Tamandua tetradactyla: one gene and its partner. The protein of the gene in region 1 purifies or fractionates together with the protein of each later gene. This does not show direct contact. Links are inferred from orthologs where the notes say so. Each region holds a gene or a part of one and is shown in the gene's direction. Other genes may lie near its edges.

Region 1 (10,472 bases):
TGGTGATTTTTTTGCTGGTTTCTTGCAAATCTCATTATCTTAAGGTCTCCTTTGTCACTTCGTTTTAATTAATAATTCCCTGTTAAACCAAGGCCCCGGCCTGTCTCAGGGGAAGCAGCACTTTTCAGAAGGCTGTTGGAGGCTGGCAGAGAAGCAGCTCGCCAATCTGCACTTCCCCCCATCTTCCCAGCAGATGGCACCCTTCAACCACCTCTTCCCCAAAACCTCGCCTCTCCCTGACTGTGGCATTTCACTGGGCAGGGTCCAGCCCAGGTTAAAATCCAGTGAAGGCCAGGCCCCCATGTGAAGCTGCTGGCTCCAGGGATGGGGGTGGGCACTGTGTGCAATGGCAAAGACTCTGGCTTATATTGGGTCTGGTGGTTCCATACTTCCATACTCCTGCAGGATAGGGAGGTTTGACTTTACCAGCTTGCAGTTGGCCCAGGAGTGCTTTGCTTTTTGCTAGCCAGCAAGACTGCCTCGGGGGTGTGGGAAGGGCACCTAGTTTTGCAATGTAGCTGCCTGGCCTCTGCCTCTCTGCTTCTGTTCGCAGTGAGTGCCCTGAGCCCCTGTGCCTAAAGGATTGAGGCAATGGGACCCAGAGCGTCTGTCTCTCTTGCCAGCCAATTTTCAGATCGGCTCTGCTCTGCATCCCCCTCTCCTCCTGAGAGGAGGGCTTCCCAGACTCCCTTAAGTCCAGGCACCTGCAGCAGCCTGCCTCAGGGATGGGGGATAGGCACTGGGCATCATAGCAGGGTCTCTGTGTGTGGATAAAATGAGTCTACTGGCTCCAGGGGTCCCACATGGGAATGCTAGTCTGTGGGACTGTAAGGATTGCCTCCCCCACCTCTCTGAACTGGGGCGTGTCACTCTTCGGTTGGCTGATCTGGCTGTTAGACCTTGGAGGTGGTTGCGATTGAATACACTCACCCCAATTTCTCAGTCGTAGTTTCTCTGCTTTTCCATCCGTTCTGCATTGTTTTCTTTATACAATGCAGAAGTTTGTCTCTGGCCACTGGGCTCTGGAACTGCTGCTTTGGTCATTTTCTGCCTGCTTTCTAGTTGTTTTATAGTGGAAGAGTGAGTTCTGCCTATCCTAATCTGCCATCTTCCCAGAAGTTCATTTCTCTATCTTACCGTGTTATTGCTGTGATTTAAACTCTATGGCATCTGTTCCTTAGGCTTGCATCCAGCTAATAGTAATACTAAGTTTTCCTTGAATGCCAGGTCTTTGTAGATGGACCTGTGCAAGTGCTCTCCTTCTGGATTTATCCACCCATGTGTTGAGAATAGTTCTAGGCCAAAGTGAAGGGACCTTCCTAATCCTTTCTGTGCATGCATTTTCTCTGTGGCCTTAGGAATTCCCCTATTTACAAAGATTCCCTCCTTTCTAGGAAAGTTTCTTTATGGTCCTAGGCAGCCTGCTGTGTATCCTACAGCCAGCCATGCCTTGCTGCAGGAGCATGACTTGACCGCTCTCTCACAGACAGAACTCCATGAGCTGTCTCCTACATGCAAGCCAAGTTCTGGGATGAGGAGTCCCTCAAGCCACCACCAGATAGACTGGGTCAGATACATGCATTCCCAGCATGTGTGTGTGTGTGGGCCACTCTGCTCCCTCTGGAACCAGGACCCAAGCCTGAGAACACAGGATGACTCTGTGCCAAGCTGATAAGGGATGAGGGAAGGGCCAGCTAGGGTGCCAGAAATCTTGCTTTTAAGTAGCCTTTTCTTGATCTGGTGCCTGCCCTGTAATTGCATTCTTTTAACTGTTTTCTGAAACTTTGAGAAGATGTTTCTGCCAGTTCTTGCTCGTTGTGCAAAGCTTCTGTGAAGAGACAGACATCTGAAGTGTCTCATTCCAAGATTGTCGGAATTTATGATTGGTATTGCATTTAATCTGTCGATTGCTTTGGGAAGAATTGCCATCTTAATATTTAGTCTTCTGATCCTGAACTCAGAATGCCCCTCCATTCATTTGGGTCTTCTTTAATTTCTTTCAGCAGTATTTTGTATCTTCCCACATACAAGTCTTTAGTTAAATTTATTCCCAGATACTAGTTTTTTCAGTTGCTATTGTAAATGGAAAATTTTTCTCAATTTCCTCTTCAAATTGTTCATTACCTAGTGTTTTGAAACACTACTGATTTTTGCATGTTGATCTTGTGCCCTGCCACTTCGCTGAATTTGCTTATTAGCTCTAGTAGCTTTGTGTGGATTCTTCAGGATTTTCTATATAGAGGATCATATCATCTGCAAATAGGGAAAGTTTTACTTCTTCCTTTCCAATTTGGGTGCCTTTTATTATTTCTAATTGCTCTGGCTAGAACTTCTAGTACCACACTGAATAGCAGTGGTGACAGTGGGCATCCTTGTCCTGTTTCTGATGTGTCTGCTGTTTTTTAATTCTGATTTAATTCTGCATCTGCATAGCTGAGTGGTCAGATAATGATTTGGGCAAAAGTTTTACTCAAACATCGTGGGTTTGTAAATCTTCCTCCCTCTGCCAGTAGATCTTTGGGTGGATTAAGAGATGCAATCAAAGTTGCCACCAGTTCTCAAGTTTCCCTTGGCTTTCAGCTTTCAATGGGTCCCTTCACTCACCTCCATGCATGTGAATAGTTTCCCAGCCAGCCAGGGGCATTTAAAGAACTTATTTTAGCCCTCAGATGAGTCTATTACCGATATCTTCCTGTTGGAAGATGTTTCTGGTTGCTTTGTCATTTGCCCCACTTGTAGTTAGCAAAATTGTGGGTTTTCCACGTTTATTTTCACCCGAGCATGCAAATTTTACTGTAATACTGTGAATTTTGACTTCCCACAACAAATGTAGTCCATCCCCTCTTGCAGCAAAGCTGCTAATCTTTTTGCTAGCCTGGTCCACCATGGTAAAACTAGAATTCTGGTTCAATGGAACGGGGGCAATAGGACTGGATTAGAATAGCCTCAAGCAAGAAGGTCGCAGATTTCCTGTTTTTTTTGGAAGTTCTAGCAGGTTTCCAAGAAAAGATACTTCAATTTGTTCGGTTGATTTCTGGTGCCCTGAAATTGCTGTTTTGGACAATTTTGTCTAGTTTCATACTCGTTTTAGGTTCAAAGGAATTGCCAGTCATGTCACACAGTCATAGACAAAATCCCTTTTATAATTTATTCTTAAGGGGCCTTTCAGTTTCATGTAAAAGAAATCTAATTTGAATGAGGTAAGACTTTCAGAACTTTGAGTCACAGAAAACCCAACACAAACTGGCTTAACCAATATGGGAATTGTATGGCTCACAATACTGAACAGTCTATAGGCACAAGTCTTGCTTCAGGTGAGGTTTGATTGTGTAGCTCTAATGGTGTCACCAAGAGCAAGGTTCTGTTCCATCTTTCTGGTACTTATTTGACAGTATTCGTGTCATCCTCAAGCTCAACCAACACCTTCCCTTTTAAACCCCATGCCTCCAGGCTCTCTCTTTACAGGTGCAAAATGTTACCACATTTTTCAGTTCTCATATTCGTAGACCATACCTGTGCTGATTTGAATCGGTTGTGTACCCCAGAAAAGCGATGTACTTTAATTCTCATTCAATATTGCTGGGTGGGACCTTTTTGACTTTTTCCATGAAGACATGACCCATCCCATTGTGGGTAGTAACTTTTAATTAGATGGTTTCCATGGAGATGTGTCTCCATCCATTCAAGGTGGGGTTGCTTACTGGAGCCCTTTAAGACGGAATCATTTTGGAAAAAACTTTGGAGCAACCAGAACCAAAAGAGTCCACGCAGCCAGAAACCTTTGGAGATAAGGAAGGAAAAAGCCCCTGGGGAACTCCACGAAGCCAGAAGCCGGGAGAGAAAGATAGACATCGTTATGTGCCCTTCCAGCTGACAGAGAACCCCCAAACTTCATCAGCCTTTCTTGAGTGAAGGTAACCTCTTGTAGGCACCTAAATTTGGACATTTTCATGGCCTCAGAACTGTAAACTTGTAATTTATTAAATTCCCCCTCTAAAAAGCCATTCCATTTCAGGCATGTTGTATTCCGGCAACTTGCAAACTAACAACATCAGAACATAAGAAAGCTGCACTTTCCTAGAGGCCCCAACACAAGTTTCTGTGGGATTCATTGACTCTGACTGGGCTATACATATCTCTCTGAAACTATCATAATTGTCACAGAGAATGGATATGCTGCATGGCTTAAATGGGAGGAACAAATATTTGGGAGGAAACTAACAAATATCTTCTATAATCACACACATTAGCCCTTAATAATAATGAGTACATGAATGAATATATTGAGTCATTAGACTCATAGACTCATAGCACATAGAGACGAGTTGCAGGAAATACCGGCTCTGAGCCCCAACCAACTGCATACATGCTACGAATTGCTTTCTCTCCTCCATTTCTCCTTTCTTTGTTCTTTGCAATCTCAATTGGCCACGTTCATTCTTACTGCAAACAGATATTGCATGGAATATAATCATCAGCAGTGACCTCAGCAGAAACCTTTTTTCTCCCTTCTTTGCGTCCTTTCAGCAACTTCTGGCATGGACCTAGCTTGGGTCAGTGCCTGTTCCTTGGCCCAATCAGCGTTGCCAGAGCACAGGGTCTAGTGATATGAATGATTACATCCCTACCCCAGTGGTCAGAGGAAACTGTTGTTTCCAGAAGCAGTGATGAGAACTTTTTTGGGGCAGTCTGAAAAAACAGTGGCTACCACAGACCACCTCAGCATCCAATTGTGGGAAGCTCTTGCGTGTAAGACTGAGGGGGGCGCTGAACTTTACTGGGTAGGACATGCAGAGTACAGAAGATAAATCTGTACTTAGATTTGAGAAAAACTGATCTGGGAGGGATAGTGTCGGCTGATTGTGGCCTGCCAATCCAAATATATAATGAAGTTTTAAAGAGAGCAATGCAGGTAGTAAAGGAAGCGACTGGGTACGACCATCTATCTGTCCCAAACCCCACTTCTTCCCTAAAAAACTGCCTACTTTCATAAAGCAAGAACAAGTGATAAGACCCTGCTTTCCAGCCCTCAATGTACATTAGAACAATTCTTCAAGTCCTTTACAAAGGACTTTTCTACGCCCTCGGTTCTGGAGGAAACCCAACTATTTCCAGTTCTACCGGTGCCTTAAATATGCAGCTGGGCAGTTCTTATCCAGGTGTTTCGTAAACGTGGCGCCAAAGGGATGGGTGGCGGGCAGGCAGCTGTCCGCTGCCCCACAGGGACCAAGGAATTTTGCAGACGATCCCGACAGTTTTTACAAGTCTCCCCCCACAAGTCCACGTCGCTTCCTCTTCCCAAAACCCCCAAGCAAAAGAGTTCCCACCGAAATGAACGGTCCCCCGCCCAGCTGAAGGCCAGGATTTCGCCCCACCCTGCGGCAGGCTGGGCCGGCCTCCGAGGCTGGTTTAACCGGTTAGCACCACTGAAGCCCGCTGGCAATAAGCAAGGGCTGGACTTCGAAAGCCGAGGACAGGCGGCTCAGGACGCGGAGGGACCACCACGGGAACAGCCCCCAAACCACCGCCGTTCACTCCTTTTCCGGGCAGGCAGCCCACCCAGTTCCCAAGGCCGCGCACTGCGCAGGCGCCGGCGCAGGACCAGCGCGTCGCGCACACTCGCGCTCTCGGTGACCACAGCGCGCCCGGGGCCGCAGGGCGCGCGATGCTTCCTGGGTATCGTAGTGCACACCCTCCGCACGGCGTCCTCCCGCGGCCCGAACGTCGGGTTTCCGCGGACTGCGCCTCCCAGCGTGCCCCGCGCGAGGGGCCCTCGACGGCCTTAGCCGTCAGCCTGCAGCAGCAGGACACCCGGAAGCGGCGCGGGGAGGGAGTGCGCCTGCGTGCGGGGCCGGCTCGTCCCGTTCCATCCCAGTCATTGTAAACAGGCGGCGGCTGGGCGGGGTGGGGATGGGGTTCCTGAGGCCGGCCAGGGGCGCGGCGCGGGGGGCGGTGACGGCGGCGGCGACGGCAGCGTGAGCGCGAGGTGGCGACGGCGGCTGGGGCGGCGGTCGCGCGGCGGCGCGCACAGGTCAGTCGTGTGGAGTGGTGGCGTGCCGTGGTCGCCGCAGAGCCCCTCGCGTACCCAGGGATCCTGCGGCCCCGGCCTCGCCCCGGGGTCTGTCAGGCGGCGGGCGGGGCTGGTGCTGACCGCTTGTCGGGGTTGGAGTTGGGGGCTGGGGGGCGTGGCTGCCCCGTGAGGGTTCCTCCCGGGCCGGGGTGCTGTCCCCCCTTGCTGTCTGTCCCGTCCACTGGCCGGCAGGCCTCCCCTGGTGGCATCCGCACGTGCGGTGGGGTGCTCTCTGGGTGTGGGGGGCCTCCGCCTTGCTTTCCCGCGCGGTAGGAGAGCCCTTCGGGAGCACGCTGAGCGGAGGAGAGGGGACTCGGACCCTTTTCATCATTGTTATTATCTCCTAGTTCTTACCCGGAATGTTGACCCTCGTCCAGCGCTTGCTCAGGGGACTGGAGATAGGCGCTTGATTTGTGCCCCGGCGGGTGGTGGAGCCCCGGGCTCCTTCGGGCACGACAGCCCTTAGTTCAGGTTTCAGTGGGAACGGACCGACAGATTTGGAGTTGAGAATGCTTCTCACGACCCGTTCTCAAGTGTGCATGTGCCCAAATGCTCTGCAATGAGGTCAGCTTTTTAAAAATTATTAATTTAAAATTTTTTTAAGTTTATCGTGGCCTTGAGAATGAACCAGGCTTTACAAACTATTCCAGCCTCAGCTTTACCTGAAGTAAGTGTGCTGTTTCAAGTTTTGGGATTCCTTACTACAGAGTCGCCCTCTTGAGCAAGCAGCGTGTTTCCTCTACGGCCTACTCGAGTTCTTGAATGTGATTAAATTTTTAATTCGAAGTGTTTTGAACGTGCATGTAAGAAAAGTACACTCGTTTGAACAATGAGTTACACCTTCCGGCAGGATTAGAAACACTTTCACTGACACTTTTGGTTGGTGGAGTGGACGTATTCTAATGTTGCAGTACGTTGGGCTGCACTCCAATATAGTGGGGCAGATATTCACAAATTAAGTGGTGCCAAGGAATAGGGCCACTTTTGGTTTGGAGCCCATGGAGGCAGCATTTCTAAATGAATAAATGGGACTGTAATGAGAAAGGTAAGATCACATCTACGTTTAGAATTATCTTAGTGCATTGATGTTTTCTGAGTATCTTCCTCAAAATGAGTAATTAATGTAAGCTGTGTCAGCAGTAGATGGGGTAGGAAAGAAGTCGGGAGAGTGGTTCCTGCTTTTCTGTCTGACCCATAGCTGCCAAGTCTGGCAGACTAATTTGAGTAACTATTGACAAGCAATTCTTTAAACAAAGTATCTTAAAAACAAAACTACATTATACCTAACTTGCTAGCTCTTCAAAATATTATTTTTCATTATTGATCTTACAGGGACCTTTTCTCCCTTAATGTAGAAAGATTAAAAATATTATTAGAAAATGCATATTAACTTTAATTTGTACCCTTTATCTCAAGGTGAGATTTAGGCCCAGAATGTAACCTGAAAGTATCTTCTATTTTGAAAGAAAATCTCTAATAGAAGCTTCCATTAGATTATGTAAGAGAGGACAAGGAAAAATGCAGATTATTTAGGGTAGAGGAATTATCGTGCAGCAGGTGCCATGCCAGGTAAAGAAGACTTAAAGATGAATAAGGCAGTATCCCTGCCTTCAGGATGGTGAGACTGTATCCCTTACTTGAACTGTCAACAAGCACAATACTTTTTTTGTTTTATCTTTTTGTTTTCGTTTTTTGTCGTTGTTGTTACTTTTATTTTTTTGTTTCAGTACAATACATTTTTATGAATACTTTGATTAGAAAAAAAAGTTTGTGGGTATGATGTGTGTACAAAGGAGATAGCTATCAGTTTCTCAAGGGAAGTGAAGGAGGAATTGAAGAAGAGGGGGGTGGTAAGTAAAAATATATATACAGATATAGAAAGGATGGGCATTTAAAAGGAATAGTGTGACCAAAAGTATGGCAACCTAGACATGAAATTGGGGGTGGGGTAGGCAGAGACCAAATTATGGATTTATGTCTCATATGTCATCAAAGTAATTTCAACTTTATTTTGTAGGCAAATGGGAGCCATTGAGACACGACAAAGAAGCGAGACCTAAGCCAGTTGAACCTATTTTTAACCCCCTCCTATGTGTTAAAAATTAGATGCTTTACAGTTTATGCCATTAAAGTTAAAGAAAATTTAGACATGACTAAGGCAGAAAAGGGAGGGAAAGGGACTTCAGGCAAAGAGAAAGTTGAACAAAGACAAGAGGGAGAGAGAGAACATAACACATTTATGAGAATGAAAAGTTGTTTTCTGTAGTAGAATTGGATTTGTGGTGTTGAGTAGCAGAAGATGAGGCTATACAGATAGATCCTCAAAAGCACCACATGCCATTTAAGAATTTTAGACATTTTTTTTCCTGTAGGTAATGATAGAGTATAGGAATTTTAATCAGTAAAGAAACATTGTAAGGTTTTCATTTGAGAGTGATCATACTGGTATTAAGGAGTATACTTTTCAGAAAGAATGGAGGGAAAGTGAGGTTGGATGCAGAAAAACTGCTTAGGAGGTTTCTGCAGTGAATGAGGTGATAGAAGGATCTAAACTAAGGCAGTGTCAGTAGGATTACAGAGGATTAGGTTAATAGAAATATTCAGTAGGTAGAATCCATAGGACTTGGTGGCAATTAGATTTGGGGAGTGAAGGAGAAATAGTAAGATAAGATGACTTGGATTTTAATTTTGGTGATTGATTAGACAGTGATGCAATCTAGTGAGTAAGGGAATTTAGGAAAAGGGGCAAATTTGAGGAGAAGCAATATTTTAGCTTTTGTATATATTGAGTGAAGCATCCATGTGTAAACATCTGCTGAGTATGAATTTAAAGTGGGAGAGAACGTTCTGGCTATGAGGGTCATCAGCTTAAATATGCTGTTAGATGAAGTCTTTGAATTAGGTAATACTGTGTACCGACTGAGAGAAGTACTAGAAGTAGACCCCGAAGAACAACATTTGAAGCCAGATAGAGGGAAAAATGGAAAAGGAAATTCTTAAGTGTTTAGAGATACGGAGAAATCATAAGGAAATATCATAATAGCCAAAGTGGGGTCATTTCAAAAGGAAGCTATACTTCAGATGCTTAAAGAAGTTAATTTAAGTAAGGATTTTTAAGAGTCTTTTGAAGTTGATAACAAGAAGGCTGTTGGATTTGATAAATGAGTGAGAGTAGTTTTGGTAGACTGTATCAGGAGCTAGATTTTATTGACTTGAGTTAATGGGAGGTCAGAGAGTGGAGACAACAAATGTGGATTGTTTCTGGAAGCTCACCTGTGAAGTGAAAAGTAGAAAGGAGGTGATAGCAGAAGGTGATGAATGTCTGAGGGAGGGAATTTTAACATGGCAAAGATTTGAGCCTACTTGTTTTGTTGTATCAGATTGGAGATATCCGTGTACCATAAAATTTACCCTTTTAAAGGTACATTTTAGTGGTTTTTGATTTGTACACTTGTGCAGCCATCCTCACAAGCAATTTTAGAACATTTTCATCACCCCAAAAAGAAACCCCTTAGCTGTTAGCAGTCACTCACCACTTTTGTCTTACCCATTGCCTGGCAACCGCTAATCTACTTTCTGGCTCTGCATATGCCTTTTCTGTGTGTTTCATATGTGGAATCATGTATGTGGTCTTTTGTGACGGCTTCTTTCACTTAGCATAATGTTTTCAAGGTTCATCCATATTGTAGCATTTATCAGTACTTCATTCCTTTAAATTGTCCAGTATACTCCATTGTCTGAATATACCACATTTTTTATCCATTCATTAGATGCTGAATACTTAAATTGTTTCTATTTTTTGGCTGGTATGACTAAAATGCTGGTATGAATATTCATGTACAATTATTGTGTGGACATATATTTTCATTTATTTTGGATCATATGGTTAGAGTAGAATTGCTGGGTCATACAGTAACTATGTTTAGCATTTTGAGGAACTGCCAAACATTTCCACAGAGGCTGTGAACCATTTTACATTCCCACCAGCAGTGATGTGTACTCCCCAACCCCACCTATACTTGTTATATTCTCTCTCTCTCTCTATTTTTTTGAATAATATCCACCTAGTCGGTGTGAAATGGTATCTCCTGGTTTTAAGTTGCAGATCCCTAATGACTAAAGATAGTGAACATTTTTTTTCATGAACTTGTGGGTCATTTGTATATCTTCCTTAGAGAAGTGTCTATTCAGGTCTTTTGTTCATTTTTATTTGGGTTGTCTTTTTGTTGATGAGTTGTAATTGCTCTTTATATATTCTTGATACTAACCCCTTAACAAATATTTTCTCCCATTTTTTACGTTGTCTTTTTCACTTTCTTGATAGTGTCTTTGGAAACAGAAGAGTTTTTAATTTTGGTAAAGTCCAGTTTATCTGTTTTTTCTTTTGTTGCCTCAGCTTTTG
Region 2 (10,037 bases), on another chromosome or scaffold:
ATTGGCATTTCCCTAATAGCTAATGATGTTGAACCTCTTTTCATATGCTTTTTTGGGTCATTTTTATATCTTCTTTGGGGAAATGTCTATTCAAGTCTTTTGCCCATTTTTAAAATTGTGGTTTTTTTTTTTTTAATCTTTTTTGTTGTTCATTTGTAGGATTTCTTGTATATCCTGGATATTAAATCCTTATCGGATATGTAGTTTCTTAATATTTTCTCCCATTTTGTAGTTTTTTTGTTTTTTTTTTTTTACTTTCATGATGAAGTCCTTTGATGCATGAAAGATTTTTAATTTTGATGAAGCCCAATTTATCTGTTTTTTCTTTGATTACTTGTGCTTTTGAGGTAAATTCTAAGGGGCTATTGCCTAACACAAAGTCCTAACGATGCTTCCCTACATTTTCTTCTAGGAGTTTTATAGTCCTGATTCTTATATTTAGATCTTTGATCCATTTTGAGTTAATTTTTGTGTATGGTGTGAGGTTGGTGACCCCTTCATTCTTTTGCATATGGATATTTAGTTTTCCCAGCACCATTTGTTAAAGAAACTATTCTTTCCCAATTGAATGGAGTTGGCATCCTTCTCAAAAAGCAATAAATGTGAGGATTTTTTTCTGAACTCTCAATTGAATTCCTTTGGTCTATGTGTCTGTCCTTGTGCCAGTATGACACTGTTTTGACCACTGTAGTCTTGAAATTAGACAAAATGAGGAAATGTATTTTGCAGTTTTAAATATTCTTTTTGGTTCTCTTATAAAGCTGAATGTTCTGTTTTCAACTCTGACTCTACCTTTCTCTCTTGTGCTTCCTATTCCTTTTTTATGGCTTAAATTATTTTCAACATACTTCATTTTATCCAATCCAACTTTATCCAATATTTGTCAACTGAAGTTCTAGGAAAAACTATTGTGGTCCATTGCTGATTTTTGTTCAAAACGTACTGTTTCTCTCTGCATCTTATAATTTTCAACTGTAATCCCATCTTCAATTTGAGATTGTACCTTTAGGCTGAATTGTGTTTATGTAGGCCAGGTACAACAGGAATATCACCATCCCAGCTCCAACTATTTCTTTTTTATCAGTTTTTTTTTAATGATGTATTTTACATACAGTACCATTCACATCTTTTAACTATCAGTTTGATGAGATTTGATAAATGTACACATTTATGCAACTACCACCACAGTTAAGATATGAACATTTCCATCACCCAAACAGTTCCCATGTTAGCCCAACTTTTAGGATAATATCTTATCTGGGGATTTCTGGACCACGTAGGTAGGATAAAGTAGAAATGTGTGAACCCCCTAACTGCATGTGGCTTAGATCTAAATTACAATTTTTCCAAAGAGATTATTTTTTCTAAATCTGAATCCAGGCAAAGGCAACCTTCCTGTTTGCTGGTAGGAAGATCCCTCTTCTTCCCCACTCCCTCCAGTCTTTCTTTGCTGGTGTAGTTCTTTGAAGGCTCTGGCATTTCATGGGTGTCTTAGTAACAACTTCTTGCTTTGTATGGCCCTAAGACAAGTCCTGTACCTGCTGGATAAATTCCATGGTTAACAAGCTGCTGTGCCTAGTCTCAGCTGCCAGGTTTAGTACTTTGGTTTTTTAGTCCTCCCTCTTCCTCCTTTTCTGACACACAAATTTTAATGAAGTATAATTTACATACAGAAACGTACACAAATCATAAATAAATAGTGCAATACCTTTTCACAAGTGAACACACCTGTGTAACAAGCACAAAGCTCAAAAAAAAAGAGAACATTACTAGAAATCTAGCACACTTTCCAGTTACTACCACTTCCAAAGAGAATCTTTATCCTGACTTCTATTAATTTAGCCTAGTTTCAAATTTTATATAAATGAAATCATTCAGTATATACTTTTTTGTGTCTGGCTTTTTTTCACTCATCATTGTGTTTGTAAGGGTCATTCATGTTGCTTCATGCAATTCTAATTCATTCATTCCCATTGACTCATAATACTTCATTACGTGAATATAACAGAATTTATGATCTAGCCCACTATAGGTTGATATTTAGGTTGTTTCCAGTTTTCCTCTTTGCTTTTGGACCCTGGGATTTCCTTCTATTTTATTTTGCCCTCTGCTGTACATTTAATAGGATTTAGAAAGTGTTTCCTGGTCACTATTTCTAGATGTTCTGTGTTGGGATATTTTAGTTTTTGTAGGCTGCCAAATCTCCAGTTACTCATATGGTTATTTTTTTTGCTGAAATTCTTATTTGATTCTCACCTGACTTACCTTAGGTGATGACTGTGGTTTGTAGAAATAGTTTGGATTTCTGTGAACCAATAATGAGTGATAGAAAACAGGAGAACAACAGAGGTGTTAAGCTATATAATTGATCTTGAAGTCATGATCTCTTGCCGGGGGAGATGCTGGTGAGCAAAGTTAGTTTGGCATTAATGGATGTAAAATATGGAAAAAACAAGTTAAAGAAATAGGGGTGGCTGAAGACAGTAATTGTCAGAGGTGTGGATATGGTTGTTTGGGTCCAGGATCTTCTGGCTAGTTGTCACCAAGGAGACGAAATGAGAGAGACACTCTCTTGATGACTCTGTGGTATGTAATCAATGTGTTGCCAGAAAAGCCACTCTAAAGCGGACCTGCTTTTGCCCTTCAAAAGTAATTGCCCTACTAGACATGTGATTCTCAACCAGGGGCATATTTGGCAATGTCTGGAGACATTTTTGGTTGTCATGATTGGCGGCACGTTACTGACATCTAATGTGTAGAGAGCCTAGGGAAGCTGCTAAACATCCTAGGATGCCCAGCACGGCTCCCGCAACAAAGAATGATCTGACCCCAAGTGTCAGTAGTATGGAGGTGGAGAAACCCTGTATTAGGTCTAGGTACTAGATGCAGCCTCTAAATCAAACACGCATTTAAATAAACACTATGAGCTATCTTTTAGGAAGTGATAACCCCACAATGATATATTCTTCTATTTTTCCATCAAAATTCTGTGATAACTAGTTTTGTGATAACCAGCTCACACTTAGCTCCTTTAATTCTTTTCAAAACCCTAACAATGGCTCTGACAACCACCAATCCATTCAGAGTTTGAAGAGAATCACTCAGATTGCACATTTATGTAAGTAGATATGTACAGCAATTTATTTATAGCTATGAAAATCATTGTAATTTTATTGTTGGAAAAAACACCAAAGTTCCAAGGCTATAGGGTGAATCAACTGCAAAGATGGCACTAAACAAATAAATATTTTGCTGTTATGCCTTAAAATTAGATTACAAGGTATTGTTTTCCTTTGTTTTTCTAGTTTTTGCAGCTCGGATTTAGTACAAAGCTAAATTTCATTGTTTCTTCAATGGAGGTGATTATCTAAATTTGCCCCTCCTTCCTCCAGGCACCACACACTAACATCTATTCTTCTGATTCATTTCCCCTAGAAAGCTGCAAGGGAGTTTTATAATGATATTATTGGTTTTGTAACTGGTGATTCCATTGTAATGCTATTACTGAGCCAGTGTTGTGATAAATGGTCTGTTTATAAGGGGAATCACTTTTACAAGAAATAGAAAATTAGACACACTTCTGCTTTGCAATAACATTAAAACCACAGTGAAAAAGAAATTCTCCGGTTTATTCCCATCTGTAGCAGCAGGGAAGCCTTAGAAGATGGCTTTCTCCCTAAAGTCTTCTAAACATGATTACTGCCTACACATACCATGTCAAAATGCAGATTTCCTCCAAATCCTATTCAAGACCAAAGCATTCTTAAGCTTACCATGACGTGGGCCCTTTAAGAAAGCCAGGCGCTTCAAACTCCACCCCCTCTGCTGACTTGAAGCAGTCAAGCTGCCTTTTTGAGGCAGTTAGTTAGTGATAAAGCTGAGAGGGCGCCAATTTGCCCCCTGCTCTGCGGGGAAGGAATGTTCCTGTTGCTGTAAGCTCTAAAAGTGGAAGCTTTAGCTACTATGGGATAGGGAACAATAGAAACATGTGAACTATGGAAGCTAGACCCACTCTTAAGATTCTTTCACGGTGCTGAATAAAGGGGAAAGAATGTTGTTTAATCGGAGCTTTCCCCTGCGGTGCTGCTCCCTGCTAGCTTTACTCTTCCATTTCACACGGCCAGTGAGTTTTCTAGAGCCGTTTCCAATTTAACAAGCTGCTTATATCATTTACCCAAAAGAAAAAGCTAGGAAGACATGTAAGTTTCAATGAAAATTAAACCAGTTCACTTATAACAGAATTATTTAGATTCGCTTTGTTTCTGAAGCACACAGCCATATTTTGGTCACACCAACAGGGTCTAAGTTCAGAAGTCCTCCAGCAGTAAACTAAAAAACAGGAGAAATTTGGGATTTAATTGCAGTTGGCATTTCTGAGCTGTCTGCTAGGAATAGCCACCTCAGTAAAAGATGATGTCATTTGGAACATTTGCAATTTAGAGTTTATTCTGAGGTACCAGTTTCCATTAGCCACTGAATAATGGTTTAATCATTACATCAAATTTAGGTGCAACGATAAGGTAGGGGATAAAAATCATTAAAGCCATTTCTTTTCCTTCCTAACATTTTTATAAACCTTTCAAAAAGCTGAAAGCAGTAGGCATTTTTTTTTTTTTTTTGCATGGGCAGGCTTGGGGAATCGAACCAGGGTCTCTGGAGTGGCAGGCGAAGCAGTAGGCATTTTAAACAATTGTTTTATTGGTAGTATTATTTTTTCTCTTTTGTGTTTCCTGTGTTTGTTCTTTCTTTGACCAAGCTTGGAAACTAAAACTAGTCCAGCCAGTTTCACTTTCCAATTTTTATACATAAGTGAAAGCTGTTTTTTTTTGTGCCAACAGTGTGGTATTTAGAATCAAATCACCTGCTGGGCCAATTTCCCGCAACTGGTTTTTGGGAGGGGGAGGGGAAATAAAATTTGATTAGGAATTTCTTATGCTTCAAAGCTAGAATCCTGTATTAGACCATATTAAAGTAATTAAAGTTTTTTTTTAAAAGCTATTAAAGTTTTCTAAATAAGGGTAATGATCATATTTTCTTTCCACTTGACCATCACAAATTTGTACAGCAGAATGCTATGCTTTCATTTACTTTGGAAATTTGGCACTTACATGTGTTTCAATATTTACACCAGAAGTGTTTCTCTTCCCTTTCTGACTTTGAATTAAATAACTGTTAGTGTCTTAATCCTTTTGGTTGACATGTGTTGATACTGTTTGCAAGATGCACAAAGAAAAAAAAATAATTCTAGCTTGCTTAAATAATTGAGCGCTGTGTAGGTTTATGAGATTAGGAGGAATAGAGAGGGCGATGTGCCTCTTCGGCAAATTCTTTTTTAACGAGGTTAGCCTGTGTCTATTTCACCCTACTCTGCTCCTTGGAGGGGAACGTTCTGTTCTCTTTGCTCCATCCAAAGCTTCTCAGCCAGTACTGGGAAGATAAAACTGCAAGGGCCGCGTTGATGTGTGACAGACAGAGGGAGTTACCCGCACACACAAATCGGCGGAAGATGGGGCCACGACACGACCGGGGCTGGGTGCAGGAGCCAGGCTGACCTTTCCACGTGTCCTCAGCACCTGCGAGGCTGGTTGGGCATTGGGTTTCTCTTTCGCCGGAGTAGGCGCGAGCCCGGAAGAGGCTGGGCTGCCGTGGTTTAGGTCAGGGGTCTCGGAGGCCCTCCCCCAGACCACGTGCGGACTTGGAGCTGGTGGTTCGGACGCTGGCCTGGCTTTTCCGCACCCGCAGTGCCCCCACGTCAGCAGCTCGCCTGCGGACGCCAGGAGACGGGACGGGACTGCGGGCGGGTTCCCGCAGCTTTCCGCAAGCCTTGTAGAGCGGCCTAGCGAGCGCGCCAGGCCGGGCTGGAGCGAGCCCCAGTGCAATACTGCCCGAGCCCGGGCGGGGTCTCTGTTCTCTGGCAGAGGAGGTCCCTTGGCAGCGGGAAGCTCTCTCTCTTTCTCTCGTCGCCGCTCCGAGTCTGCGCCCTGGTGCCAGGCGCTCAGCTCGGCGCTCCCCTGTGCTTGCCCGGCGCCCACTCATTCGCAGCCCAGCCTTCGCCGCCGCCGCCTCCCTGCTCCTCCTCCTCCTCCTTTCCCCAGCCCGCCGCGGCCATGGCGGACAGCGCCAGCGAAAGCGACACGGACGGGGCGGGGGGCAACAGCAGCAGCTCGGCCGCCATGCAGTCGTCTTGCTCGTCGACCTCGGGCGGCGGCGGCGGCGGCGGTGGCGGCGGGGGAGGCGGCGGCGGAGGTGGGAAGTCCGGGGGTATTGTCATCTCACCGTTCCGCCTGGAGGAGCTCACCAACCGCTTGGCCTCGCTGCAGCAAGAGAACAAGGTGCTGAAGATCGAGCTGGAGACCTACAAACTCAAGTGCAAGGCGCTGCAGGAGGAGAACCGAGACCTGCGCAAAGCCAGCGTGACCATCGTGAGTGCTCCCCCGGGGCGCGCCGCAGCGCCGACCTCCGCCCGCCTCCGCGAGCGGCTGCATCCCAACCCGGGCAACCCTATAACCCCCACTCCCCAGGCTCCTGGGGATCTGCAGCGAACAACTCCTCGCTGAGACCTGCCCGCGCCCGGAGAGGAGGGGGGTGGTGTCTGTTGCGGGGGGAGAGGGCATGTGTCCTTTAGGTGGCCATGGGGGTCTGCCCTTCCTTGTGGTCCGGGTCCCTCGCGGGGTTCGGGGAAAAACAGTTGGGGCAATCCCCGACGGTTTCTTTTCGCCTTTGGGGAGGAGGCCGCTCCGGGGCAGGGCTGCAAGCTGGCGGCGTGGCTGGGGGGCGGGGTGGGACTGCTTCAGTCTTAGCTTGCCTGTGGGGTGCGTCCGGAATCTAGGGGAACCCTAGGCTGGGAAAGAGGGAAGAAGCATGGCCCTGTTCCAAGGGCCTGGTTTGAGGTGCGCAGCTGGGCTGGGCACTCAGCTGGTATCTGGACGGCTCTGGCGGGATCGCCCGGGGGTGGGGGGTGGGGTGGGGCGGGAGATTGACCGGGAATCCGGGAAGTGGAGTTCTCTGGTCAGGATCGAGAGAGAAAGGCGGGCACCGGCGCTGGTGCACCCTCCTCTGTTGGAAAACCATTCCTTTCGGGGCGGGATATATATACGGGAGAGTACAGCATCCAACACTGACCTAGACAGCTGAGGCCGAAACCAGAGTGAGGGGTTGCGGCTGCGACTGTCTTGCTGAGCAAGCTGTCCGTATGCTTCCTCATTTGGTGGTGGAGTGTGTAAAGGTATATTACCTCCGAGTCCAGGTACTCGACTGAAGAACAGGCCATCTGTTTTCACCTGGTCCCTGGAGGCTTCCCAGAAGGGTAAGGTTAGGTCTGTAGTTCTGTCTGTAGTGGGCTGTGATGAGGGGAAACATAACTGGAAAAAGTACACTGTGTGCTCTTAACATCCCTGCCAGCTTGCCACATCATTAACATGCAGAATCCTCATACAGACAACTCTATTCAGATCAAAACAGCCACCCATCCAGGAGCAGAGAAGAAAATGTCAAGGAATCAAAGGAATAAATTGCCTTAGCTGCTGGACAATAGCTGATTAGGTGGATTCTTCAGATGAGAAAGGGGAGAACTTTTAGTATGGATCAAAGGTCACGGCCTGGAAGTGAAATAGGGCAAGTTTAGGATGACCCTGTGCCAGGAAAGGGTCTTGAGTGGAGGAGTATGTGTGTTGCCCCAAAATGAGCTTGTGCATGGGAATTGGATGGCATTCTTAATTCGTTTCGAAAGCAGGTTTTCCATCGGAATTTGCTGGCAGCAGCCTAATTAGGAATTGATTGTAGAAAGGCACTTTGTATGTTCGAACCCAGTCCTGGTGAACGGAATTAGAGCAACATTCACCCATATCAAGACTATTAAGTTTCTGAAGGGCCCTTAAGGTAGCAAGGGGGAGGAATTTGCAGAGGCAGCCTCCAAGCCTCTTTTGTAGGCTTTCTTGACTGAGAGAAATATCTCAGCCTGCTGGGATCTTGAAAAGAGGGAAACGTTGATGTTGCCAGTTTATTTAAGGTTTGAGTGAGTAAATGAGAGGGTTGCTCTCTTGGAGAATTTGAACCACCAAAAAGTAGTGAAACTTTCCTGAAACAGAATCTCTAGCCTCTTGCCTACAGCCAGCAATTCAGGCTGTTTTTGTTTGTCTGGGATGGAGGAATGGCTGGTGGGGGGTGGAGATGGAGAGATTATGAAAGGGTTATCTGTTTGACACTTTGACCATACTATAAGTAGGTCTGTAAATTGTACACAAACATGTTGGCTCTGCACAGTCAAAACACGTTCACTCCTGGTATAAAAGACCAGAGGCCTTCTGAATACGTGGATTGAGAAGTGTGTAAGGTGATGGCTTTATTTATTTATTTTTTTAGCACTAAACCTCAGCTAAAGTTGACATTTAACCTAATACACTTTGTGAAGTATTCTGTGGCTTTACATTAAAAAAATGTTTTGGATGACAGCCTAACAAGTACCACTACTAGAAGCTTCTTAGTTCTTTTCTTATCTCTAATTAATATATTCAGGGAGACAAACTTGTGGTTCAGCTGGGTCTCCTAGTACTGGGCAGGTGTTGGTTACTAAGGAGCTGTATGACAGCTGCAGAGAAAAGAGTTCCTGCAGGCATTTAAGGATTTTGTTGATTGACTTAGGATCCAGAGTGTGATGGGATTGGTTTTCAACCATCAGGTATGTAATTGGGGAGGAGAAACGTGCAGACTCCATGAAATGGGTTTGTGAATGTTTGAGTCCATGGAACATGATTGTGGTGGTTTATGTCAGGGTTAATCTGCGGCATCCCTGGCACCTCTCACTTAAAAACATTACCCTTGCTAGTAGCTGCCTAAGCTGTTTATCACATTGCCTAGATAATCAATTAAGTGAAGGCCTTGGTAGATTTTTCATTGTTACTTAATTTGAAGGGAAGATGGTATCATAATCGTATTACTTACCTTTCTGGCTCTTAGCCCCCAGTTCCTCTAATTATGATATTAAGTTTCATGTTCTCGAACACTAGAGGTGATTGTGGATGTCTTTCCTTTGCCCTGATCATGTACAGGAAGGACTTTACTAATCAGCCACACCCTGAAGAAGAGAGAGAGGCCTTCCTTTCTTTAGCCAAGTCAAGGAGCTAATAGAAGCCCTTATCTAGTGATCTTTTTTATCGCTTTTGGTATCTAAGTGTTTATTCTGATCAAGCTACCCATTTAATAAAGAACTAATTTCATAGGTCTGTGCTCTCCCACCTCCTGTAATAGAGGGAAACCTCATCCACAGGGAGAATCAACTCTAAGAGTCCTTGTCTCCATGTTTTCAATGGTCCAGTGCATTTTATTTGTGGCTTAGAGATGGAATGCAGTGTTTTGAGTGACTATCTAACTTCACAGAAAAATTGGCAGTGGAACCAGGCTGCAGATTATAGATCATAATTTCTTCCCTGGGATGGGGGAAATAAGCAAAAACCAAGTGCTCAGACGCTTTTTTGAATCCCTTATGAATCCTTTATATATCAGAGTAGTTTTTAGATGTTAGAGCAGATGTGTCTGGCTTGCACTGTGGGTGCAAATGTGAATGTGAATTATCTGATTCAGTGTAGTGAGAGATGGCAAGGGATGCTAGTCTCTGAGAAGCTGTGGAAATGCAATTGTGAGCAGTAATTGGAAGGTTTTAAAATCACCAACTTGTTGCCGCTGTTCTCAGAATATAAGCAAGGTCTCACATGGTGGAGGCTGGTTGTCTTAGGGTGTGTGCTTTTTCTAGAGGTTCAAACCCTTTAGCATATGTTTGATTGGGACATAGAGATCTACTATAAATCTTTAGCATCAAAGTGTCCTTTCCTGACTAAAATTAACCATTATAGAAATTTAGAAAAATACCTAAATTTAAAGACATTTTGCAGTTATTGTAGGGAAAATGTGGTGTGGCATGATTAGAAAAGCTGACTCTTCTAAGCATCAACATTATAATGGTTTCATTAACCAGTAAAAGCCACCATATAGTTAATGTTGTGTATTTTGGATCATTCAGCTTGGCAGCCTAATACTCTGTT

The links.
Region 2: the proteins of RALBP1 (region 1) and CCDC6 purify together in Homo sapiens (affinity purification with mass spectrometry; 3 studies listed by BioGRID and IntAct, counting the BioPlex papers as one, with this or other methods). This does not show direct contact. The link is inferred for Tamandua tetradactyla from reciprocal best matches to the Homo sapiens genes RALBP1 and CCDC6.

What each region holds. Positions count from the first base shown.
Region 1 is NC_135344.1:73,017,494-73,027,965, forward strand, and holds the start of RALBP1 (ralA-binding protein 1), read left to right. Parts: upstream 1-5,969; 5' UTR 5,970-6,031; intron 6,032-6,064; exon of another isoform or gene 6,065-6,118; intron 6,119-10,472. UniProt on the Homo sapiens protein: Multifunctional protein that functions as a downstream effector of RALA and RALB. As a GTPase-activating protein/GAP can inactivate CDC42 and RAC1 by stimulating their GTPase activity.
Region 2 is NC_135339.1:37,347,586-37,357,622, forward strand, and holds the start of CCDC6 (coiled-coil domain-containing protein 6), read left to right. Parts: upstream 1-5,483; 5' UTR 5,484-6,107; coding exon 6,108-6,422; intron 6,423-10,037.